Callithrix jacchus: one gene and its partners. The protein of the gene in region 3 interacts with the protein of the main gene of each other region in a pairwise test. Links are inferred from orthologs where the notes say so. Each region holds a gene or a part of one and is shown on either strand. Other genes may lie near its edges. The genes, in order: SH3RF2, FAM50B, GOLGA2, CCNH, SCEL, SH2D4A and TCF19.

Region 1 (3,500 bases), on a different chromosome or scaffold from region 3:
CCAAACAGTATTAAATGACTGACGAGGAGACATAGGTAGAAATATTAGCTTGCATTTGATGACCTATAAGGGCATTTATTTTTTTTAAATGAGGATATGAACTCCAATGAGACTAAAATCTGAAAATGCATATATGTATGTATAAAGACATACATACTTATATGTATAAATGTATTTCTGCTCTACCTTTCCCAAATTAATGTTACTTAAATTAGAATGGTGTGTGGGAAGATGTGTTTCCCTCTGGTTTTTGTTGTTGTTGCTGCTGTTTTGTTTTGTTTTCCATGTCCTACAGCTGGAATAAAATATCCATGTTTTATGGGAAAAAATACTATGCAGGTATACCCCAGATAGTGTAGGTTCAGTCCCAGACCACTACAATAATGCTAATGCCGTAATAAAGCAAGTCAAACAATTTTTTTACTTCCCGGTGCATATAAAAGTTGTTTACATTACACTGTAGTCTACTGAGTGTGCAATAGCATTATGCCTAAAAAAGTATATCTAACTTAATTTAAAATACTTTACTACTAACAAAAAGTTAATGATGATTTGAGCCTTCAGCACGTTGCCATCTTCTTGCTGGTGGTGGGTCTTGCCTCAATATTGATGGTTTGCGGCTTCACCTTGCATTTTTAAGTTATAGAGACAGCTTCTTTTCTTTAACCTCAAACAATCTCAGCTAGCTTCAAACTTTTCTTCTGCAGCTTCCACACCTCTCTCAGCCTTCATAGAATTAAAGAAAGTTAGGCTCTTGATCTGAATTAGGCTTTGGCTTAAGTGTATGTTGTGGCTGGTTTGATCTTCTACCCAACGAGTCAAACTTCCTCCATATTAGCAATAAGGTTGTTTCACTTTCTTATCATTTATGTGTTCACCGCGGTAGCACTTCTAATTTCCTTCAAGAACTTTTCCTTTGCATTCACAACTTGGCTGTTTGTCACAAGAGGCCTAGCTTTTGGCCTATCTCAGCTTCAGTCATGCCTTCTTCACTAAGATTAATCATTTCTGGCTTTTGATTTAAAGTGAGAGATGTGCAACTCTTCCTTTTACTTGAAAATGTGTAGGCCATTTTAGGGTTATTAATTGGCCTCATTTTAGTATTTTTGTGTCTCAGAGAATAGGGAGGCCCAAGGAGAGGGAGTGAGATGGCAGAATGGCCAGTTGGTGGAGCAGTCAGAACACAAACATTTATTGACAAAGTTTGCTGTCTTGTATGGGCAGTTTGTGGCACCCACCCCTCAACTCAGGCATTATAATACTAACATCAAAGATCACTGATTACAGATCACCATAGCAGGTATAATAATAATGAAACAAAGTCAGCACGTGGTGTTGGAACAATTGCACGAATAGACTTTTTCAGCACAGGTTGCTATAAATTTTGATTTGTAAAAAGCTCAATATTTGCAAAGCATGTTAAAGCAAAGTATAACAAAAGAGGGAATGCTTGTATCTTCTGTTCCTCTAGACTCTAAGCTAAGTAGATATTTGAGCTAAGTATGTATTTTATTGGTCTGTGCCATTGCAGGTGCCTCGAGCCAAGGCCTTATGCAACTACAGAGGGCAGAGTCCTGGTGACCTAAGGTTTAATAAGGGAGATGTCATTCTTCTCCGGAGACAGCTTGATGAGAATTGGTACCAGGGGGAAATCAATGGCATCAGCGGGATCTTCCCAGCCAGCTCTGTGGAAGTCATCAAGCAGCTGCCCCAGCCACCCCCACTCTGCAGGGCCCTCTACAACTTCGACCTACGAGGCAAGGACAAGAGAGAGAACCAGGATTGCCTCACCTTCCTCAAGGTAGGATTCTGGGTGGCCACCACAGTCAGCTGGGACCACATAGAGACCATAGCAGAACCAGAGTTGCTTGTTTAACATTTGCTGATTTTAAAAAATTATATATTAAATATATTATATTATTGTTCATATTTATTCTTTTATGCATAAATTATATTTTAAGCATAAATTATATTTTATGCATAAATTACATATGTAATATGTGTGTACAATTCAAACTAAATGCAAGTAAAATCTCTACAGAAATCTACAAATAAGCGATAGAAATCTGTGAGCCTTTTTTATTGTAATTACAAAAGTATACACTCATTCACTCATTCATTCATTCTATCACTTTTGAGCACTTACTCTTTGCAGGTCCTGGGAATAGGACATGAATAAGTCACAGTCTTTGCTCTCCTGGCATAGTAATGGGAAGAACAGATACGTGAACAGAAAATCACAAACAATTTGATAACATGCTATGTAAAACCATGCCCCTACCTCTTAATCATGTATGTGGAAGGGTATTCTTGCTGACCAAGTTATGCTTACCTAATTCTACTCATTTACAACATTCTATGTTGTTGTAAACATCACATTCAAAACACTGCAGACACACATAACAACATAATCATGCCTTTCTACATAAATAATCTCTTACGAGACATACTTTTCAAACATTAATTACCCTAAGATTTCTTGTGCCTCTGTTTTTCATTAGATGATTCCCCACCATTTGCAAGTAATGACAGTTCTACTAAAGTCTACACTACTTTAACTCTCCGTATTCAGTATTTGTTATTCCATAGACATTCACATCTCTCATAGAAACCACAGTTGGAATTATTTTCATTCTTCACTACTGGTGATAAGTCGATCAAATATAAGTATAGAAAGAGGCACTGTTACAATACTTTAGCCAAAGTCTTTTGTTTTGCAAAATATTTTTATTCCACCACTACCAGAAAGGAGATTTACTTCAGGTTTCCTCAAACTAGACAACCTCCCTGTCCTCCACATTTTGAGATAACGACGTTTATTATTTCCTTGGGACCTCAGAGTGAGACTCCTAAGGAAGGTCATTCTACAGCCCAAACAGCAAAGTTTAGATGTAGACTACAGTTAGAGGAAGGTCAGTTCAATCCCGCAAATATGTAGTGAGTAATTATTTTGTGCCAGGCATTAGACACACAGCTGGAGGAAGACATAAGCAGGGAGTATCATCGTCTGCCTCTCTGACCCTTTCTGGGAATTTGCAAACTGGGACATTTACTCTACATGCTTATTCATTTTTTGAGCCCATCCATGTGCCAAGCTGGCCATTGGAGATAAAGTGATGAGTCATTGTCCTTACCTTCACAGAGTGGGCAATCTAGTGGAAGAAACACACTTATAAATGGGAAATTATGATAAAGAAACCGGAAAAAAGATTTGACCCATTCTGGAAGGCTGTGGAATACAGAGACTTCTAGGAAATCTCATGGTCTAAACTCAGCACATCCAAATTAAACTCGAGATATTCTTTCCCAAAGTTGTTCTTTTCCTAGTGCTTTCTAGCTCAGTAAATTATATAATTTATTCAACTTCATGTATTTATTTATGCATGGATGCATTCAGGAAATATCTGTTGCCTGACTACTAAAGGGAAGCCACTGCATTAGGTGCTAGGGACAGCAAAGATTAACAAAGCAGACACATGGAGTTTGGCCCTGCATACATG
Region 2 (4,049 bases), on a different chromosome or scaffold from region 3:
ATTTTAAAAATGTTTTATCGTGATTTGCAAGTTACAAAACTTGCTTGTATACTCTAGCAGTTGAGAGTCTTTCCGTCCCAGATAAGAGAAAGCCTGACTTACACTGGTTTAAATAAAATATTTAATAACTCATTTATTTGAAAAGATCAGAGGTCACATGAGCTTTGGATGTGACTTGACTCAAAAGTTCAGTAATCTCACCATCCCTCTTTCTGCTGCATCTTTAGGCTCGCACTCCTTAGGGCCACACGATGATTTCCAGCAATTGTCAGAGCTGCATGCTCTCTTAGTTGATTGCTCTTTCAGAATGGTGACCAGATCTGTCAGTACATTTCTCATTGCTTTTTAAAATCATCATAGCTAGGGAAATGATGAATAGTTCCTTTAGACTGAGACCATTAGGGCCTACCCTAAAGCTGGGGGTCGAGAGGAGAATGGTGGTAAAACGTAGGATGCACTGGGGAAAGGTGATAGCCATCCAAACAAAAATCGGGATCGCATAACCAACAGGAAGGGGAAATGGAAGCTGAGTGCTGAAATTAGCAACTGCTCATCACACACACTCGGTCCTCCTTGATACAAGAACACTGAAGGTCGATAGCTACTAACACACCTGTCTTACAGATGAAGATACTGAAGACTCCAAGAGCTGTATGTCCTACCCTTGGTCATTCATCCAGTTGGTAGCAAGGATCAAATCTAGATCTTATGATTCTAAATTCTCTGCTCTTACCAGTATCCTAAATTACCACTCTACTGGCTTAAAATACTGCTGAGTATATGGGACTGAGTCAGTACTACACACTTGTTTTTAAAAATTAAAAAGGATGCTGGGTGCAGTGGCTCATGCCTGTAATCCCAGCACTTTGGGAGGCTGAGGCAGGAGAATCACCTGCGGCCAGGAGTTTGAGACCAGCCTGGCCAACATGGTGAAACCCTGTCTCTACTAAAAATACAAAATTATCCTGGTATGGTGGCACATGCTTGTGGTCCCAGCTACTCAGGAGCTGAGACAGGAGAATCGTTTGAACCCGGGAGGCAGAGGTTGCAGTGAGCCAAGATCATGCGCCACTGCACTCCAGCCTGAGTGAAACAGAGTGAGACTCTGCCTCAGGAAAAAAAAAAAGTTAAAAAGGTCAAAGGAGATACTAGCTATTCAACACAAGGGTGAGTCGTGAGGATGTGATGCTGCTACTGTGGGCAGAGCGGCATGTGAGTTTCCACTATGGTGCACCAAAGAATTGGAGGATCCTGTTCTTAGCCTGGGTTCCCCCAAAGAAAAGCATAGGTTCAAGGTTTATGCGTGAGTGGTTTAGTTGGGAATGGGACCACAGGGAGCAGGAAGCAGGGTTGGTGGAGAGTGGATGGGGTAGGAGGCTGGGGAGAAAATCCAATTCAATCTAGGCAGCCATGCCTACAAGTGATTGCTGGGTCCCACAGCAGCCTTGTGTGTGTGTGTGTGTGTGTGTGTGTGTGTGTGTGTGTGTGTGAGAGAGAGAGAGAGAGAGAGAGAAAGAGAGAGAGAGAGAGAGACGGGGTTTTGCTCTTGTTGCCCAGGCTAGAGTGCAAGGGTGTGATCTCGGCTTACTGCAACCTCTGCCTCCCAGGTTCAAGTGATTCTCTTGCCCCAGCCTCCTGAGTAGCTAGGATTACAGGCATGCACCACCATGCCCGGCTAATTTTGTATTTTTAGTAGAGACAGGGCTTCTCCATGTTGGTCAGACTGATTCCGAACTCCTGACCTCAGGAGATCTGCCCGCCTTGGACTCCTAAAGTGCTGGGATTACAGGCATAAGCCGCCATGCCTGACCATCACAGCAGCTTTTGCAAGCTCTCTGGAGTGTGTCTCAGAACTGTGGGGTGAGGAGAACAGGGGAAGCATTGATTCGAGAGCTCCCATCCCCAGTGGAAGACGGTTCCTTCATAGGACTCACATGGCACACCCCAGCCAGCCACTGCATCTGAGAATCCAGGGACGGGCAGTGAGAAGAGGCATGCTCAGCGTACTGCTACGTGAAGCTGGTTGGATAGAACTGCTCACTGTAGCAGTGGCTGGAAGGAGAGGGGACGAGAACATTTTAAGTCGAGCATGATTGGTCTCCCTATATGATCCATTATAAGCTAATAATACAGGCCAGGCGTGGTGGCTCATGCCTGTAATCCCAGCACTTTGGGAGGCTGAGGCGGGAGGATCATCTGAGGCCGGGAGTTCAAGATCAGCCTGATGAACATGAGGAAATCATTGCCTGTAGCCCCAGTTACTCAGGAGGCGGAGGCAGGAGAATTGCTTGAACCCAGGAGGCGGAGGTGGCGGTGAGCTGGGATCGCATAATTGCACTCCAGCCTGGGCAACAAGACCGAAACTCCATCTCAAAAAATAAACCCCCAAAATAAGCTACTAATACAGAACTCGATTTAGGAAAGTGATACACATACAAGCCCAAATTCCTCTTTAGTTAGTTCATGTCTGATAGTTCTTCCTTGGAATATCACAGCCACCTTCTAAAAAGGTGTTCCTAGTTTCTCCTCATTCAACTACTGAAGTAATCTTTCTAAAATTAGTTTTTAAAGTCGTTATTATTTTACTGAAAGGTTCATTACTCCCCCACTGCTTCCAGGAATATGTACGAATTCCTTCGCTTGACATTCAACATGCTTCACAATTGGCTTTACTCTAGTTAAACAGCTGTACTTCCCGTAACTGCCTCCAGCTGGACTCAAGCCAGTGAAATTTCCTTACCGTTTGATAAACAGGCCAAGATTATTCCTCCTCGGTGCCTTTGCTAATATTGTCCACTCTAACAGGCAGGGATGATATGCAAAACATTTACCAACTGCTGTGGAGCACTAACCAATGAGCGTGGAGACGGAGCCAATCAGAACTGACATCAGGTGTAACTGCCAATATGCGCTGACCAGTTGGGTCGGTCCTGTCCCCAGCCTCCATTCGCTCTACTGAAATTCCATTTCTTTCAACTTCCGTGAAGTTTTCCTGGACTGCTGATGCCCAAGATGATCATTTCTATTTTTATTTCTTGAGACTAATTACCACCTTAAATTCTTGTACCCAGAATCTTATTAAAGATGTTCATGTGATTACACAAGAGTCTGAAACACCACTTTTTGGGCAGTGCATTTCTCATGTCTGCTCCATATGGTAACACCTTTGTGATCTTTTCTTTTGAGATGGAGTTTCACGCTTGTTGCCCAGGCTGGAGTGCAATGGTGTGATCTCAGCTCACCGCAATTTCCATCTCCCAGGTTCAAGCAATTCTCCTGCTTCACCCTTAATAGTAGCTGGGATTACGGGCATACACCACCACACCCATCTAATTTTTGTATTTTTAGTAGAGACGGGGTTTCACCATGTTGGCCAGGATGGTCTTGAACTCCTGACCTTGTGATCTGCCTGCCTCAGCCTCCCAAAGTGCTGGGATTATGGGCGTGAGCCCCACACCTGACGTGATATTTCTACAGAGAGTAGAGAGATAGAAGTCAGTCTTTCCTATAGCATGGCTGATGAAAAACAATTTTTGATTGTTAATATTTCAGAAAAGTTTCAGCTTTGAAGATTCATGACTAAAACAATTCGTGACTGATAGTGACATAGATTTAAGAATTTTTGTCAAATACAAGGAAAACCTTTTAAGTTTTTTTCATGTGTAACTATAACATTTCAGGGAATACAAATATCCTTGAAATGATCTTTGAATTGCTTTTTGAATTAGATATATTCCTGGAAGCCATCCCAACACCATGATGGCAGGCAATATTTTCATCTGTGTGGTGGTTAAAACATGGCCCCCAAAATGCTTTGATACTGCCCTCATTGAGAGATGGGGCTACCTCTCCTGAATCTGGGCAGGATTGTGACTTGGTTGTAACCAACAGAATGCAAGTTCAGAAAAGGTGATGTGGCTATGTTGGTCCCTGGAATACTCATCTTTGGTGTCCTGACTCATCAAGTAAGTCTGCCTTCTCTGCAGCCCCCATGCTTTGAGGAAGCCTGGGCTATGTTTAGGGGATGCAGCTGACAGCCCCAGCTACGA
Region 3 (2,675 bases):
CCTGGGGGTGGGGCTGCCGCCTCAGGCTCCTGGGCGGAGGCCAGCAGGTGAGCCAGGTGCCGGCAGCGCACCCTTTGCTCCTTCAGCTGCCCACGTAGCTTTGCCTGCTCCTCCTCGGCACTGGCTACAGCCGAGTTGAAAAATGCCACCTGCAGGCAAGAGAGGTGCACACTTGGATGGGGATACACAGGACAAACAAGGCAGGGAAGAGGAGAGCAGCCGTTCCCCTAGGGCCTCAGAGGCATCACCTGTTGGTCACAGGTGACATAGTGTCTGATCACTGGCTCCCAGGGAAGGGGTGAGGGTCCAGAGAACTCAGAATACCAGGAAACCAAGAGAAGAAGGGGGTCTGGGAGGGACCACAAAGGGAGGCAGCAAAGGTGGGGCAGGAGGAGTCAGCCTCACCATGGCCTCCCGGCTCTCCAGGTCCTCTGGGATGCTCGGCATGGGCCAAGGCGCCTCCTCCTCCTCCTCGTTCTCCCTGTCCAGTCCATCTCCTATTGGGGGTGGCCAGAGGGGTCATCAGACAACCTAACAAGGGTACAGTGGGCCCACCTCTGCCCCCACCCTCACTGTGTAACCCTGAGCCAGCCCCTCCCCAGAGGGAATGAGCAGCTGTCCTTCATTTTTATTTTATTCCTTTTGAAGAGCCAAGGGCTCGCTATGTTGCCCAGGTGCAGCCCCACTACCCATCAGCACAGGAATTCTAACCCATGCCATTTCTGACCTGGGCCAGTTCACCCATCCTTAAGCAACCTGGTAGTCCCCTGCTCCCAGGAAGTCACTATATTGGTGCCCAACTTAGTGTGGACAGCCGGTGAGCATAATGACCCGCTGTTCTAAAAGTCTCTTCCAACTCCTCAATCCTACGCTGCTGACAGTCCCCGATTCCTCCTAGGGCTCTCTCCTCTTCCTGGGAGCAGGTTCCCGTACCTTCCCCAGGGAGAGCTATGAGGCTCAACTGGGCTCTTAGCTGCTGGTTCTGCTGGCTGACAGCTTCCAGGCGCTCCTAAGGGGCCAGGAAAGAGAGTGAGAAGGCACAGAGGTTGCCAAGTCGCTCAGGGCCCTGCCCTCAGCAACTCCCTCACCTGGGTTTCCTGCAACTCTTGGCTGGCCATGTCAGCCACCGCTTTGCCCTGAGCTTCCTGCTGCTGCAGCTGGTCCACGAGCTGGGTCTGCAGCAGCAACTGGTTGTGCAGTGCCTCCTTCTCAGAGGTCAGCTGCTGACAGGCGGCCACCTGCTGCTGATAGGCGGCCACGTACTGCTGCAGGTGTCCCAGGTACTGGTCTCGCTGCTGCTGCAGACTCTGAGCCTCTTGGCTCTTCAGCTCCACCTGCAGGAAGATCCTGGGCATGAGGGCAGGTGGTGGCTGACTTCCAGATTCTGGGCCCATAAATAGGGTAGCAAGGGCACGCTGGGGCTGTTGCATGCCCAGACCCCTGGCCCCGTGCTTCAGGCCTAAATGACTGCCTACCTTGCCTCCTTCCCCAGCCTCAAATCTCACACCCTTGTTCCCACCATTCATACTGTAGGCCACAGACTGGTGGAAACACAGAGGGAGTCAACCACCATCTGCTAAGTGTGCTACATGCCTAACACTATCCACGTAATATCTCATTTAATGAACTTCCTTTTCAAGTTAAAGAAACCGAGACTTAGAGATGCAATGTAGTTGAATGGTGACCAGTGGAGGAGAGGTCGGAATCCAGTTTGAATCTAAGAAGCCTCTTATCCCACTTTCTTTCCCTATGACTGGGGGCTCCATGCCTCTAGCTGGAATGATGATGTCCAGACCTGAGAGGAGCACAGGACTATCCACTTCTAAAAGTCTGGGAGCAGGAAGCAAGAAACAGTCACAGGACTTCCCTGGAGGGTGCTGGGGTCACCTGTCCCCCAGGCTGGAGCTGCTTCTGGCCTCACACCTCCCCTCCCCAGAGGCTGGTGCCTGCCTCCCAGCCCTTCTTGGATGGGGTGGGGTTACCGTCTCCTTCAGCTCGCTCAGCTTCTCCTGCAGCTCGCCCAGTTTTTTTCCCAGCTCCTTTTTGACGTGCTGCTCCGACTGCAGTGCACTGGTGATCTCCATGTTCTCATTAGTCTGGACAGGGAGAAGCAATCAGTGGTCACCCACTGCAGCTGGAGACCTCAGAATTTGGCGTCTGCCTCCCATGGAACCAGGAAGGGTGGAGGCAGGTTAGAAAAATCATCCCCTCTCCCCGACAGCCATCAGAGCAGGGCTCGGCTCATAGGTGACTTCAGAAGTACCATTTCATGTGAGGGCTACACTGCCCCATTTTACAGGTGGGAAAACAAAGGGCCAGAGGGCTAGGGAGAAGAGCAGGCTCCCCAGGTAGGGCCACACACCAGCTTTACGAATCCGCTCTGCAGCTCGGCCAGCTGCTCCTTGAGTTCGCGGTTCTGGGAGAGCGCTCGGCTGATGGTGGTGCGGTCATTCTGCATGGTCTCCAGGATTTGCCTGCGAGCCTCCGCCTGCTCCCCCCAGAGTTCAGCTGCCCGCTCCAGCTCCAGCAGCCTCTCCTCCTGCTCCCGGTTCAGGCGACTCAAGCCCTCATTGTCTTGCACCTGGGCTTGGAGCTGTCCTGCCAGACTCTCCAGCTCCTTCCGAAGGTGCTCAGCCTCCGCCTGTAGCTGCTGCTCTACCTCGGAGGGCCCTGCT
Region 4 (4,239 bases), on a different chromosome or scaffold from region 3:
AAAATAACCACTTATCTATTTTATGATAGAAAAAATATTTCCTTTTAAATATTTTAAAAGTTTAGTTTTGTCATTATTTAAAACAAAAAATTATTCACCAATCACAAACATGTTATTTAAAGATAAATTCCATAAAGAAGTTTATTAAAGGTTTCTTCATTTGATAAAATCACTTAAATTTACTGCCTCATTTTACAATTCTTTTGTAAGAATAAGCCAAATCTGAAGACAGAAACTGAGTACACCTAAAACTCTCTGAATCTTTGATATCTCATATGGAAAAAAAAATAAGTTATATGACTTAATATTTTCGACATACTTCAATGTTTTTTCAACAATAAAAATGGAGATAATTTCCTAGAAGCTAATCGCATTGTATATAGCTTTAAAACTTAACAGACTTTTACTTAAAATAGACTTTTACATTTAGTCTTCACAACAAACCTGATAAAATAACATAAAAACATTTTTAACACTCCCCCATTACACTTTTTTATCTTTCAGCTTTTTAATCTCAGCTACCTGTTTCTCCTCACTGTTGTGCACCCCAGCAAAACAAACAAACAAACAAAAAAAACCCACAGGTCCTCAGAATCATACATCTGAAACAATATGACAATCTTTTTAACCAAAGATAAAACTCCAGCTTCTACTAATCAAAGCTTAAAAAAAAAATCTTATGGCATCAGTTTCAGCTGGAGCATATGATTACAAATGATGAATGAATGTATTATTTCAAACATCTACCGGGTGTCATAGAGTTGGAAAAGCAGTAGTCTAGTTCTATTTCTGGTTCTAAGGCTCACTAGTTGAAAACTTAGAGGAAAGTAAGTTAATTTTCTTTATTTATACCATTACCTGACCTCAATTTTCTTTTTTTTTTTTTTTTTTTTACTACAAAATGAGACTTGAAATACGTTGGAAGAGATGATACAGCAATTCATGATTTAAGGCCTGTATTGAAAAATATATAATGTGTCAAAAGCTAATTAAATGTAACAAAGGTGATTTTTAAAACTAAAATGGACTGGGAACTTAGCTACAAATTTAGAAGAGGTCAGATTTCACAAGCCAACTAAAGGACATCATATTTCATCACTACCGTAACTTACCACAACAGACCTTGGCATTGCCGGCTTAAACACTGAACAGAATTCCAGTAACCTTTTCTCATAGTATTTACAGAGTGTCATTTCTTCATGAGGCTCAAGAAAGACTGGATCATTCGGAAGAACCTTTAGGTCAACAATTACAACACAAGTTCAGTGAATTAAACAACTGTAAAATATTTTTCTCTAACTAGATTAAATTTAGTTTATATCTCCAACGAAGGAAAATACATCACGCCTCATTTTCTCTTTATAGATTCCCCTATCATTACACAAAATAGCTTTAGGAAAATATTTAATAAACTAAAACTGTACCATCATTTCGCAACATTTCGGAATGTCAGCTAGACCTCTGCTTCAAGATACAATCATGATAGACTGTGTGCATATGCTCACAGTTGTGATGTCATTATTTATAAATTAAAAAATAGATACACTTAAATAAAAAATGATTGGAAAGTTTCAACATCCGTTTCTCAGTAAGTCATTATGTCACACAAGCGAGGTATAAAAAAAAAAAAGGCAAATGTTTCAATTTGTTATTTTAAGCTATCCAGTTTGTGGTGATTTTAAGGCAGCCCTTACGAAACGAATTCAGGTGCTAAAATCAGTTATTTGAAACAGATGTGAATTAAAGTAGAAAGCGAAATTACTCTGTATCAATAATTTGGAGGCGCTGAACACTTGCTGGAGTGGAACTCGTAGGAAAGATTTTACCAGTCCGAGAGCCGTAACAGAAGGGACATAGCGGGCCATAGTCCAAACCATCTTTAGTCAGTTGGTTTGTACTCGGTCTCCTGTCTCCCTCCCTCATCCAACCCATTCACCACGAGGTTGCCAGAGCGGTTTCTAGAACGGAAATCTGATAAGGTTAGTTTCCCATTTTAAGTATTTCAAAGGTTCCTCATCCTTTCAGTAGAAATTTTAAACGCCTCACTTCCACTTACAAGTTCTCTTCCTACCCTCCCAAGCAATTCCTGCACAGGTACTCAACCTCGACCATATACGACCACAAACACGTCCAGGCACCAGTTCTGTAATTTCCGACCTCCCTCCCACTCTGCACGGTAGCTCTGACTGCCTAGAATGTCCTTTCCCCATTTTCTCCGCATTAGCTACTGGGTAAAATGTTCCCCGACATCACCGTTTGACAAGTGAACGGCTCTTGCCAGGCACTACCTTAGCACACTACTTAGTCTCTCCTTCGCCACGTTACAAAGACTTGTCTGCCATTCTACTACGGGGACGGCGTTGTTCGTCTTTGCACCCACGGAACTGGCAAGGTGCTCGCCTGTTTAAATAGATAAGCGCATTCCGCGCCGTGGAGACAGAGAATTGAGGGAATGAGATTGTCCTGGGAGCCAGAAGAGCCCCCGCAGCTGCTTAGAATTTAGAGACCAGGGCAAACGGGCAACCGTTGAGAACCTCACCTTCCCGTTGGCCACTGCTTTGCATCTGAATTTGCGGTTGGCGTCGGCCCGCAATCTTGCCAGCTGCTCTTCACCGGAGAAAGTCCAGTGCCGCTTCTGGCTACTATTGTGGTACATTGTGAATCGTGACCAGGTGCAGAGAGCCTGCAGAAGAGAACCCAAACGCAGCAACACCGTGGCGTAAAGCGGCCTTTCACCCACCGAAAATGTCGCGGAAGCCTTGGGCGTCCGGCCAGCCGGCGCCCGCGCCGGCGCGCTGACGTCACGATCACGTGGCGAGCCCGTACGCAGTCGCATTTCCGGAACGGACTAGGAAGAGACCATATCTAGGGTTCTTTGGGGCGCTCACTGAGGCGTAGTGGGCGGAGCCTACGGAAAGCTCCTCTTAGGGAGCCTGGGACATAGCTCCGCCCCTTCCACTCAGGATTTAAAGGAGAAGTGCCTGGCGAAGAGTGTTCAAAGGGGACATAAGCTAGGACATAATCTACTTTTTTAATTTATAAATAATACATCCCAACTGTGAGCATATTCACACAGTCTATCATGATTGTTATGGAGTAGGCTGTTGTAAATTCACAGGGAGTAATCAGAAATGAGGAAAGGACTTGGTAGGGTGTCAGTTTTTAAATAGAGGCCTCACTGAAGTTGACATTTGTGCAAAGGCTTGAAAGAGTTGAAATAGTAGGTTGATCAATCATGTAGGGAGATCATGGGACCCAGAAAAATAGGTAAGATCTTCATGCAGAAGCATTCCTAGAGCTTGTCAGGAAGACTTTGGAGACCAGTGTTCTTGAAGCTCTACCAAAAATCTCAGAGAATGGAGCATGGCTGAAAAACTTGAAGCAGTGGATATGTATTGGCCCTTAGAGTTCTGCCACTTTTGTGACCTTGTCTATTCTTTCTCTGTACTTTTTTTTCCTTACCCTTCTGTTGATAACTAGCCAATCCTCTTCCCCCGTTTTCGTCTCTGAAGCCAAGATGTATGGTGGTTTTAGTTTTCTTGAGATTCCCATTTTCATTGCCTCTAGGGAGACTTACGGTAAGCTATCATGAATATTAAGATATTTACAATTTTTTAAATTAATAGGACTTTCAAAATTGCAGGTGAGATTCAAAATATACATTGATTCTGGTTTGTCACATTTAGGCATACCTTATTCCTCCACATATTTATTATATATCCAAAATGGATTTCCAAAAAAGAAAGAAAGAGAAAGATGATGAGGCCTGGAGAATTTAGGTCTTGAAGAGCCTAAAAGGTAAAAAGGTAAAAGAAGTGGCAGGACGACTTTAAGTCTGCTTTCTACGAAAATGTTTTTAGAGCCTAAAGAAAGGGAGTCTTTTCTCTTTCATTTTTGTTGAATGCAGTTGAGGATAGAGTTTGGACAGTTATTTGAATTCCTCAAACTTATGCCATTTGTAGTTTATAATTTTGGAGATCCACACACTCAACATATGTGGCTAATCTGGACTTGTAAATTGGCTAAGAAATGAGAAAAAGAGAAGATTGAAGGGCATGGCAAATTGATTACAATGAATTGTGAACAACCTAAAATGTTGCATATTGGGAGAAGAATAAAAGAAAAAAATAATGGTACAAAACGTAGGAAAATAAGTGATCTAGATAATTAAATGTCTATACAAAGTCTTAGACTCATAACAGTTATATATATATCATATAAATCCTTTTCATTTTGTTT
Region 5 (3,500 bases), about 140 Mb from region 3:
TTTCTCTCATATTAATTAAGCGATATTGAGGGCATCGCATCTTTATGTTTGGCTTCTCTCTTCTGTGTCTAATCCCTGGTGCCCTGATTTTCACTTCAAAGAGTCTACAGTGTATTCCATCTAAATATACATTTACATATAGCCCAATAAAATCCTAAGGATTAAACTATATTATTGATAGGCAATTTTTATACTAAAAGTGAATTTAATATCAGTATAATAATTGTCTCCAGAAGCTTGAATTAATCATTGGGAATATGGAGGAAGTGTGTGTCTAATATTATAGGAATGTTTTGAAACTGATACACTTTTTTTTTTTAAAGAAGTGAAAACCTTGATAATGCTATCAAAGTGAATCCCAAAGGAAATGAAAATGCCACTGGGTAAGAATAATTAATGTCTTTGATTATGATTTCTTTAAGTGTCAATCCATCAGAAGATAAAACAATTTGGCTTTTTAGCTGTATAACCATATTTTATTAGCATGGAATTAGACAATAAATATAGGCCACTGGACCATCCCTCCTTGCCCTCAATAAAACTGTGAACTTCTGAAGCATTGTCTTAATGTTTGATAGTAAACAAACTTTTCTCCCAGATTTTGGGCTTTGATTTGTCTTCAGGGGTAAGGGACTGAATTGAATTTCTTTGTGCCTATAAGAATGCACAGTTGTGACAAAATTTTCAAAGTGTATTTCCAAAATGACAAAGACGGCCAGGAGTGAGCCATCACTGAAGCTCTGGTAATTCAAATTCTCTAAGGATGGTGGTCTCAGGAGGTGGTCAAGGCAGGGCTGAGGCGGCACACACAGGTGGAGTGAGGACCTCCTACCACTTTGTTCCCTGTTCAGAGCTGTGTAGACATGGTGGTGGCACCCAATCACAGTGCTTCTGTTGTCCCCTCCTGTCCCTTTTAGATTCTGCTTCTGCCTTTTTTGGTATCAAAGTATTTTAATAGCGTGGCCTGTGTGATTCACTCCCACTGGGGAGTGAATCAGTAATTTTTGGTATGTGGTATTAAACGAAATGCTGTTGTGGAAATTAATAAAGGTAAGTTAAGGATAATTTACATCAAAGGGCTTTCTGATTTGGTCCTGAAAACACCTGACACATGGTAATGTGAGCTGTTTATTTCTTGCCCATTTTTGCTCACCAAAATTCATTTTGAAGAAAATGATATTTAAAATGGGTTGGGTTAGGTAGATAGCTGAGTTTATATGAAAACATACATTCTTATTCTCTTTATTAATATTGTTAAATGATTTTTATTATTAAATTATGATTCTCAACATTATTCCTAATACTTAGAAACAGAATAGGTGATCGTATTCCATTTGTTGAGTAGACATTTATACTGTCTGGGTCCAGTGTAGAACTTAATCTAACTTAATGTTATTTCAATGCTGCCTGTTTGGATACAAGATATATCTAACAAGATGTGTCTGAAGGCAAAGTTGATTTTGTTAAACAACAAGTTTTGCATATACTTATGCATTCTGAGAACAAAACAAAAATCACATTTATTACTAACAAATAAGCAACCTTAAATGGTCTTCAGCTCAAGATGTAAGAGAATAATTTTCATTTGCATTTGGAGCTTTAAAACTTTACGTAGATATATGAAACCTGTAGATTTACCTCTTCTTAATTTTTCCAGCCATTATTCATCTGATTAGTGCTTTATTTTTAGCATTATTCATTAAAATTCATTTTCTCATTCAAAGAAAACAAGATCTGGACTGGCTTATTAAAGTGGATCCTGAAACAAATAAAAATATTAGGAGGTAAGGCATTTTAAGTTCCCCCTTCCCTTTGTTTGGCATTTACAAGCTCATTAGAATTCTGAATGTTGATATTCAGGTCAGTAAATTGGAATTCAAGCCAAAACAAACTGAGCTCTTTTCTCTAAACACTTTATATTAAGTAATTCTGTACAAGTGATACACCTGAATCTTCTTCATTTTGTTCTTGGGTGAAGTTTGTTAGCAAATAATTTTAAGAAACTAAATGGGAATTTTGGCTGACCTTCTCTACTGAACTAAATGATTTATTTCTTTGTATGCGAGTGTGAGTACATGTGTGTATAAATGTATGTGCGTAAATATATAGTGTGTTTATATATAAGTGCATGTATGTATGTGTAAGTGTATAATAAATATATATATGTAGATATAAGTAGTGTGTGTGTTTGAGTGTATGTGTGTGTGTATCAGTGGTATGTGGGTTTAAGTACATGTGTGTATAGATGTGTGTATAAGTGTATGTGTGTGTATGTATAAGTGCATGTGCAGATGTGTATATGTATGAACTACATGTGCATGTGTGGTGTATTTGTGTGTAGTGTGTGTATGTGCATGTAGTATGTGTGTATTTAAAGATGAAGAGCTTAACAAAGTGTGCTTTGTTCCTACTCATGAGTTGTCGAGTATGTCTAGAGAACTTATGTCTTCTTGTTTTTTATTTTTTATAAGGCAGATGGAATATTTTTGAAACTGAGTTTGTTGGCATGTTGCTGGAAACAGTGTACCACATAATTTCATGTGGTTTCCCTTGAATTCTTTTCCATTTCATTAGCTAAGTACATGATATTATTTGTCAATCCAAAAATGTGTCATGGATGCCTGCAGCCCAGTTGGCAAGGGAAGGGCTCAGCTAGTTGAAAAGCTGTGGTGCCCACTGTCACGCCTGCCCTGCTTGTGTAGGTGTGGCATGGTCAGAGGCACAGCAACCCAGTGAACTGGAGGCTTGCACAAGCTTGCAATCAGTAGATGGAGAAGAAAGCATTGATGTCCTTCAGTTCCTGGGTGGTTCAGGGAGGTAACCTGAGGTAGTGAATGTGAGCAGGGAATCTAAAAAACCTAGGTTCATATTCTGGCTCTGTCACTTGCTAACTGTGTCTCTGTGCCTCAATGTACTCATTTACAAAAGAGGAATCATAAAATTCTCATGCCTGGCACATAGTAGATACAAGTAATTATTGCAATAATAAGGATTCAGGTAAGTTATATTTCCTTCATAATTTAGTGTTCAAATGTCAAATTTTAACTTTCCAAGAAAAATCTGTTTTCTTGGAAATGTTTTCTAATTTTTGTTAAAAATAATATTTCCGGCCGGGTGCGGTGGCTCACACCTGTAGTCCCAAAACTTTGGGAGGCCGAGGCAGGTGGATCATGAGGTCAAGAGATCAAGACCATCCTGATCAACATGGTGTGAAACCCCGTCTCTACTAAAAATACAAAAAATTATCTGGGCATGGTGTTGTGTGCCTGTAATCCCAGCTACTCAGGAGGCTGAGGCAGGAGAATTGCCTGAACCCAGGAGGCGGAGGTTGCGGTGAGCTGAGATTGCACCATTGCACTCCAGCCTGGGTAACAAGAGTGAAACTCTGTCGCAAAAAAAAAAAAAAATTTCCAATCAGGACTTATTTTCTTCATATGTTGGTGTGTGTATATGTGGGCATCCCTCTGCTCATGTGTATATGCATGCAAACAGATGTTTTT
Region 6 (3,500 bases), on a different chromosome or scaffold from region 3:
GAAAACTTACAGGATAAGAAGAAGCCCATGGCAGAGCAGAGGATGCTCCAGAATGCTAGAAGAATTAGGTTTGAGAAAGAAGTAGTGTTTCAGTCTGACTCAGAGAAGTCTGAACTGCTGGATCATCCTGAGGCAGCTTGAGGAAGAACACAGGTGTGGCTGCATTTGCAGGATGTTGCGATCCTAAATTGATCTGCAATCCCATTACAGCCAATGCCATTTAAATGACAATGTCTGTGAAATAAAAATATTCGCAAGATCCAGTGGCCTCTTTGTACTATGCAGTGAAATCCTAGTATAAGGGAATATTTTGGGTATCTCTTTGAAGTCAAACATAACAGGATTTGACCAATAATGCCTGAAGAGTAAATATACTCAATAAAAATTACTTTTTCATTCTGCATTAGAGTCTCATTGCTACAACAAAAAACTGTTTTGCAAAGTAGTCATGTGCTGTATAATGATGTTTTGGCCAACGATGGGTTGTATATATTTTTTAGGCCAAGTGCTGTGACTCCCTCCTGTAATCTCAGCCTTTTGGGAGGCTAAGCTGGGTCGATCACTTGAGGTCGCAAGTTCCAGACCAGCCTAGCCATCGTGGTGAAGCCGCATCTCTACTAAAAATACAAAAACTAGCTGGGTGTGGTGGGGCACACCTGTAGTCCGAGCTACTAAGGAGGCGGAGGCAGGAAAATCGCTTGAACCTGGGAGGTAGAGGTTGCAGTGAGCCAAGATCATACTACTGTGCTTCAGCTTGGGCAACAGATTGAGATTCAGTCTCAAAAAAAAAAAAAAAAAAAAAAAGACACAAAATAATAGGTTGCATATATTTTTAAAATAAAGATATTTTTAATACATTTTATTAATGTAGTATAGCCCAAGTATAAAGTGTTTATAAAGTCTACATTCATGTATAGTAATGTCCTAGGCCTTAGCATTCATTGAGCACTCACTCACTGACTCAACCCAGAGCATCTTCCAGTCCTGGTAAGTACCCTATATAGCTGCATCATTTTTTTGTCCTCTATACTATATTTTTACTATACCTTTGCTACGTTGGGGGTAGTTTTTTCATTTTTTATTTTTTGAGATGGAGTTTCTGCTCTTGTTCCCCAGGCTGGAGTGCAATGGCGTGATCTCGGCTCACTGCAACCTCTGCCTCCTGCTTTCAAGAGATTCTCCTGCTTCAGCCTCCTGAATAGCTGGAATTAGAGGCGACTGCTACCATGCCTGGCTAACTTTTTGTACTTTTAGTAGAGTCAGGGTTTTGCCATGTTGGCCAGGCTGGTCTCAAACTCCTGACCTCAGGTGATCCATGTGCCTTGACTTCCCAAAGTGCTGGGATTACAGGCATGAGCCACTGTGCCCAGCCTTATATTGGGGGTGTTTAGATACACAAATACTTTTGGGTTACATTCGCCTCAGGACGCATTTCTCAGAACATGTTCCTGTCATTAAGTGATGAGTGACTATAATTTTAAAAGGCAGGCTTGGGGTACTTCTTCGTGTTCTAATGTGTTCTACAGTTATCTGTGGTTAAGCATCTCTTTAATTTTTTTATCTGTTGGGCTCATTCTCATTCTATCCCACTTCCTGCTCCTTCACCCTATGCACAGCCCCATGCCACTGAATAGTCCAGATCTTTGCTAGCAAGTCAGGCACACTGCATCTGAACATGAGTCTATGCAGGAAGTGACAAGTGCCTCTTATTACTCAGCACCCTTGCCACTTTGAACCCTTGCTCAGGCAGGGACTCCTCTGATCTTATCAACTGCAGGAAATTCTTGCACACTTTTGATACTTCTCTCATCCCTTCTTCCTCCTCTTCCTTTTCTCTCCCTCTCAGAAAATCCCCAAACTCCCATATGAAGAGAGGAATCCTGCGGTGAACGCTGGGCAAGTCCTAATGACCTGGATCATAGGTGTTGATAATGAGTGTTCCTCATTATAAGCAGATCACAAACTGCTGGTAACCTGCGCTGCTGCCTGTTGTGCAATGCTGAGCCTTCTCACCTGCTCTGGGGGCTGATGAGGATGTTCTCCAACCCTGTTGTTTTTCTAGTGCGAAAATCCAAAGCAGCTGATGAGAAGAGACGCTCCTTGGCTAAACAAGCACGAGAAGACTACAAGAGGTTATCGCTCGGGGCCCAGAAAGGAAGAGGCGGTGAGAGGTTGCAAAGCCCCCTGCATGCTCCGCAGAAACCAAAAAGACCTCCCCTTCCACCGAAGCCTCAGTTCCTAAACCCAGGAGCGTATCCTCCAAAACCTCTTAGGTAAGAAGCCAAACAAATAGATGGCTTTAGGCCTAAGCATTGCAATGGGCTTTGAGTAAGCATTGAAATTAGGATGAATTGTATGAGCTGCCATAGGGTGTGGGAGGTCAACTGGCAGCCTGTGTAAGCTCAGGCTGACGTCTACGCCTTCTTCCTGGGTTATCTGGTCGGGCGCTCCTCCCCTTCTTAGCTGTCAAACATCCGTAGGTGTTATATTTAGCATACCCAGTGAAATAGTAAAGCCGTGCATGGAGTTAGAGAACTTCCTGTGTCCCCACCCCACTCTCCCCTTTTCCACCCAGAGGCAGCTGGCAAGCCAGTGAGGGGAGAAGAGGAAGCAAGGGGGGATTTCACTGATGCCCAAGGTCACCCTTAGTCAATGACAATCAAAGTAGGAACCCAAAGGCTTGCTGACTTTCATGTCATTAGTAAGACTACGTTTTCACTGCCAAGGATTGAAGGTTTGATGTAATTCTCATTCTGGGACACATAGCTGTTGGAAACAGATGCTTGGTGCTGCAAAGAAAAATAGCACTGAGACAATGGATCTCTCAGCAAAGCAATTTTTACTTTTTTACTTCCTGTACTGCAGAAAGGGTACCCTCACTAGCCTTCTTGCCACGAGAGTACAATGAACAAAGGAAAGCAGACATATTTATCTCTTATGCATTTGTGGTTGTCTTTACTGCTGTGTCTGATCTCTGTTGGTTGGAGCCAGACTTCACAATCCAAACTAAAACTGGATTGGCTAACAACTGAAAACTTTTTTAAACAGGTAAGGGGCATAGGCTACCAGCTGGGACATGCCTGTGAGCACATCTAGCACAGATATCTTAAAATACAAGGACATAGAATATACTACATTCCTATAAGCATGTCTAACAGGTACATAGGATAGGGCTTAATAAAGGGTTATTAGCAAACTTATTCTCTAACAGGAAAGGAAACTTTAGAGGGACTTTTCCACTTCCCACAATAGCCAAGTTTATCTTTCGAAAATTTGGAAAGGCTCCTTTTTTTTTTTTTTTTTTTTAAATGAATTGTCTATTTGGTGGTGGTGATGCTATTGTCTCTTAGGCTGTGGAAGAATTAGGAAGAACCATTTGTTCTGGAAAATCTCTGCAGAATAGTGCAGTGATGCTATTACAGAAACCCCCATCCCTTATGTTTGCTGATTATAAATTTTTTTTCTGGTTATTGATCTTATTTTATTTTTAACATCCTAGG
Region 7 (2,799 bases), on a different chromosome or scaffold from region 3:
CCCAGCCCCTCACCTTCTCCCCTAGGGGGGGTAGACCAAAGATCTTGCCTGTTTCCGCCCCACCTGGGGAAGTGGGTATCATACCTTCTGCTCCACCCCCACGCAATCGGAGGAAATCTGCTCACCAAGTGTTAGCAGAACTGGATGAGAGTGAGCCTCCTGAGAGCCCACCACCAGTCCTTATGGAGCCCAGGAAGAAACTCCGTGTAGACAAAGCCCCTCTGACTCCCACTGGGTAAGTAGAGACCTCACTTGGCTCTCATAGTATTTTACTGCCTTTTGATTCCTTTTATCCCTAGGCTGGGAGGTGGAATAGATGAAGTGGCAAGACCTGGGTTAGCTCTGATAAGAAAAGCAAAATATGTGCAGGAGAAAATGAGAGGTGGGTGGGGCAATGGTTATAACAGCTGGAGTGGGCACATCCTACTTTTTACATTCATCTAGCTTTAACCCCATTCTTCTAGTGCCTAAGGATGGGGAACTTCCAGGCTCACACTAGAGGTTTTTAGACCCACCCTATGTGTTTTTAAAGACAGGGTCTAGACTAACCTTAGTCCTCAGACCACTGTGCCTCTGTGGACTCACCCTATGACCAGCCATAGGGTGGCAAAGTCTAGGTCGTCTCCTACAGTTTTCCAGTGACTCTTGTATTTGTGTTACTTCCTTCAGAAATCGATGTGGCCATCCTCGTCCTTGGAAGTACCCAGCGAGTGCCCCCATGGCTCCAACTGCTGTTGGGGGCGGGGAGCCCTGTGCAGCTCCTTGTTGCTGCCTGCCCCAGGAAGAGACAGTGGCCTGGGTTCAGTGTGATGGCTGTGACCTCTGGTTCCATGTGGTCTGTGTTGGCTGCAGCATCCAGGCTGCAAGGGAGGCTGACTTTCGATGCCCAGGGTGCTGTGCTGGCATCCAAACCTAAGGTCAACCATGAAGGCACCCTCGGACACAGCTGCCCATCAGTAGACAGCAGTGAGCAAATGTGTCTGATAAATGCCCCGGTCCCTTCCCAGGATGGAATGATTACAGGGACGAAGGGTGGATTGATGTGACTCATTCAGGGCCTGGAGCAGAGCCTGGTGGCCAAGGTGACAAAGAAATGGCTTCCTGCCAAAGATATTGCCACCTCCAGGAAATTGCCAGTGACCTGGAAGTTCCCACTGCTACAAGCTACAAGACCATGTTGCCATGGACACCAAAATATCTGTAGTCAGAGCACTGAACAGTTGCAAAAGCCATGCCTGCAACTGATGGAAAACTAAGGGAGTTCAAAAAAAATTATCTTTCCTGCCGTAAGAGGGAGTTCTTTTGTTTTTTGAGATGGAGTTTTGCTAATTACCCAGGCTGGAGTGCAATGGCGCAATATCAGCTCATGGCAACCTCCGCCTCCTGGGTTCAGGCAATTCTCCTGCCTCAGCCTCCTGAGTAGCTGGGATTACAGGCACATGCCACCGTGCCCAGCTAATTTTTTTGTATTTTTAGTAGAGACGGGGTTTTACCATGTTGACCAGGATGGTCTCGATCTCTTGACCTCGTGATCCACCCTGCTCAGCCTCCCAAAGTGTTGGGATTACAGGCGTGAGCCACCGCGCCCGGCAAGAGGGAGTTCTTAAGGTTCTTGGTGGCATCACCTAAGGCATTCTGGGAAAACCTAGAGCCTGGCCCCAAAACTTCCCTACTCTGTGGCTAGTCTTGCCACTGACTAAATCATAAGGACTGGGCTTTTCAGAGCTTTGCTTTTATTTCCAAGTCAAGGACAAGCAGCTTCATTCCTGGGTATTTACTCTTCTTGTGGGTCTGTGGTATTCCTTGCTTTCCAGGGAGAATGCACTTGGCAAGGTCTGGAGAACTAATTCAGAATCTTAGTGGAAGGGGAGTAGATAGGAACAGCCAAATTCAAACCTGCTTATTGGAAAGGTACAAATATATGGGCTGAGCGGGAGGTAGGAATACAGGTAATTTTCTAGTTTTCCCTTAAACAGACCTACTGCCATTTAAATAAGGTAGCCAGGATTTGGTCAAGTTCACAAAGATAGCAGAAGTTTTACAGGCTTCACCCTTACCATCAGGGCAAGAGAAAGCCTGGTAAACCAGCTATAGCAGTTTACCAGCATGATTGTTGTGACAGCTCCACTCCATGGGTGGACACAGCAGAGGGCAAGTGGGCTGGCCTGGTCCAGTATGAATCCAACTGCTTACCCCACACGTGGTACACGTGATTTTCCTTTGTGAGCCTTACACCAAGCCAAGCTATTGTCAAAGCATCATTTGTACAGAAATAAAGCCTTATGTATTTGGTGAGTCACTTATGGGCAGGGTATGCAAAAACCTTAAGTGGAAACCAGATAGACCCTGGTACCAAGAAAGCACAAAATATTAATAGAAGTTTCCAGTTGGGGTGATTTAGGTACAACAGAAATAAGACTTGATTATAAGTATAAAGCCATTTAAGAATTCCAGAGTAGGGTGGGGAAAGCAAAAAGCCAGCTCTGAGCCGTAACAGCTACATGGTGATGAATATGGGCAAAAGTGTGGTGTCCAGATCCCATGTCACAGGCTTCCATGAACTAGCTATAAAGGGATCCTATGCAGATAAACTTGGCTCCAATCCTAGCTCTTCCTCTGACATTGTGTGACCTCAAGGAGTTTAAATGGCATCTTGGTTTTAGGGTCACTTGGGTATGAGCATTGGATATTCCCATCCCCACCTCAGTAACTAAAGGAGGCCAAACCAAGATAAATGTGTCTATCTACTGTGTCCCAGGCTTCTTTATTTAAGAAAAAAGTGATACATGTGGGGATTAA

The links.
Region 1: the proteins of GOLGA2 (region 3) and SH3RF2 interact in binary tests that used the Homo sapiens proteins (3 or more experiments, as listed by UniProt). The two-hybrid records come from large-scale screens. The link is inferred for Callithrix jacchus from reciprocal best matches to the Homo sapiens genes GOLGA2 and SH3RF2.
Region 2: the proteins of GOLGA2 (region 3) and FAM50B interact in binary tests that used the Homo sapiens proteins (3 or more experiments, as listed by UniProt). The two-hybrid records come from large-scale screens. The link is inferred for Callithrix jacchus from reciprocal best matches to the Homo sapiens genes GOLGA2 and FAM50B.
Region 4: the proteins of GOLGA2 (region 3) and CCNH interact in binary tests that used the Homo sapiens proteins (3 or more experiments, as listed by UniProt). The link is inferred for Callithrix jacchus from reciprocal best matches to the Homo sapiens genes GOLGA2 and CCNH.
Region 5: the proteins of GOLGA2 (region 3) and SCEL interact in binary tests that used the Homo sapiens proteins (3 or more experiments, as listed by UniProt). The two-hybrid records come from large-scale screens. The link is inferred for Callithrix jacchus from reciprocal best matches to the Homo sapiens genes GOLGA2 and SCEL.
Region 6: the proteins of GOLGA2 (region 3) and SH2D4A interact in binary tests that used the Homo sapiens proteins (3 or more experiments, as listed by UniProt). The two-hybrid records come from large-scale screens. The link is inferred for Callithrix jacchus from reciprocal best matches to the Homo sapiens genes GOLGA2 and SH2D4A.
Region 7: the proteins of GOLGA2 (region 3) and TCF19 interact in binary tests that used the Homo sapiens proteins (3 or more experiments, as listed by UniProt). The two-hybrid records come from large-scale screens. The link is inferred for Callithrix jacchus from reciprocal best matches to the Homo sapiens genes GOLGA2 and TCF19.

The regions. Positions count from the first base shown.
Region 1 is NC_133503.1:44,494,051-44,497,550, forward strand, and holds part of SH3RF2 (E3 ubiquitin-protein ligase SH3RF2), read left to right. Parts: intron 1-1,531; coding exon 1,532-1,801; intron 1,802-3,500. UniProt on the Homo sapiens protein: Has E3 ubiquitin-protein ligase activity. Acts as an anti-apoptotic regulator of the JNK pathway by ubiquitinating and promoting the degradation of SH3RF1, a scaffold protein that is required for pro-apoptotic JNK activation.
Region 2 is NC_133505.1:26,814,544-26,818,592, forward strand, and holds the start of FAM50B (protein FAM50B), read right to left. Parts: upstream 2,801-4,049; 5' UTR 2,741-2,800; intron 1-2,740.
Region 3 is NC_133502.1:176,865,833-176,868,507, forward strand, and holds part of GOLGA2 (golgin subfamily A member 2), read right to left. Parts: coding exon 2,363-2,675; intron 2,097-2,362; coding exon 1,983-2,096; intron 1,335-1,982; coding exon 1,089-1,334; intron 1,010-1,088; coding exon 934-1,009; intron 498-933; coding exon 406-497; intron 150-405; coding exon 1-149. UniProt on the Homo sapiens protein: Peripheral membrane component of the cis-Golgi stack that acts as a membrane skeleton that maintains the structure of the Golgi apparatus, and as a vesicle thether that facilitates vesicle fusion to the Golgi membrane.
Region 4 is NC_133503.1:123,459,594-123,463,832, reverse strand, and holds the start of CCNH (cyclin-H), read right to left. Parts: upstream 2,801-4,239; 5' UTR 2,657-2,800; coding exon 2,540-2,656; intron 1,236-2,539; coding exon 1,113-1,235; intron 1-1,112. UniProt on the Homo sapiens protein: Regulates CDK7, the catalytic subunit of the CDK-activating kinase (CAK) enzymatic complex. CAK activates the cyclin-associated kinases CDK1, CDK2, CDK4 and CDK6 by threonine phosphorylation.
Region 5 is NC_133502.1:37,700,917-37,704,416, reverse strand, and holds part of SCEL (sciellin), read left to right. Parts: intron 1-323; coding exon 324-383; intron 384-1,724; coding exon 1,725-1,784; intron 1,785-3,500. UniProt on the Homo sapiens protein: May function in the assembly or regulation of proteins in the cornified envelope. The LIM domain may be involved in homotypic or heterotypic associations and may function to localize sciellin to the cornified envelope.
Region 6 is NC_133514.1:22,141,152-22,144,651, reverse strand, and holds part of SH2D4A (SH2 domain-containing protein 4A), read left to right. Parts: intron 1-2,062; coding exon 2,063-2,273; intron 2,274-3,500. UniProt on the Homo sapiens protein: Inhibits estrogen-induced cell proliferation by competing with PLCG for binding to ESR1, blocking the effect of estrogen on PLCG and repressing estrogen-induced proliferation. May play a role in T-cell development and function.
Region 7 is NC_133505.1:35,984,761-35,987,559, forward strand, and holds the end of TCF19 (transcription factor 19), read left to right. Parts: coding exon 1-235; intron 236-669; coding exon 670-916; 3' UTR 917-2,299; downstream 2,300-2,799. UniProt on the Homo sapiens protein: Potential transcription factor that may play a role in the regulation of genes involved in cell cycle G1/S transition. May bind to regulatory elements of genes, including the promoter of the transcription factor FOXO1.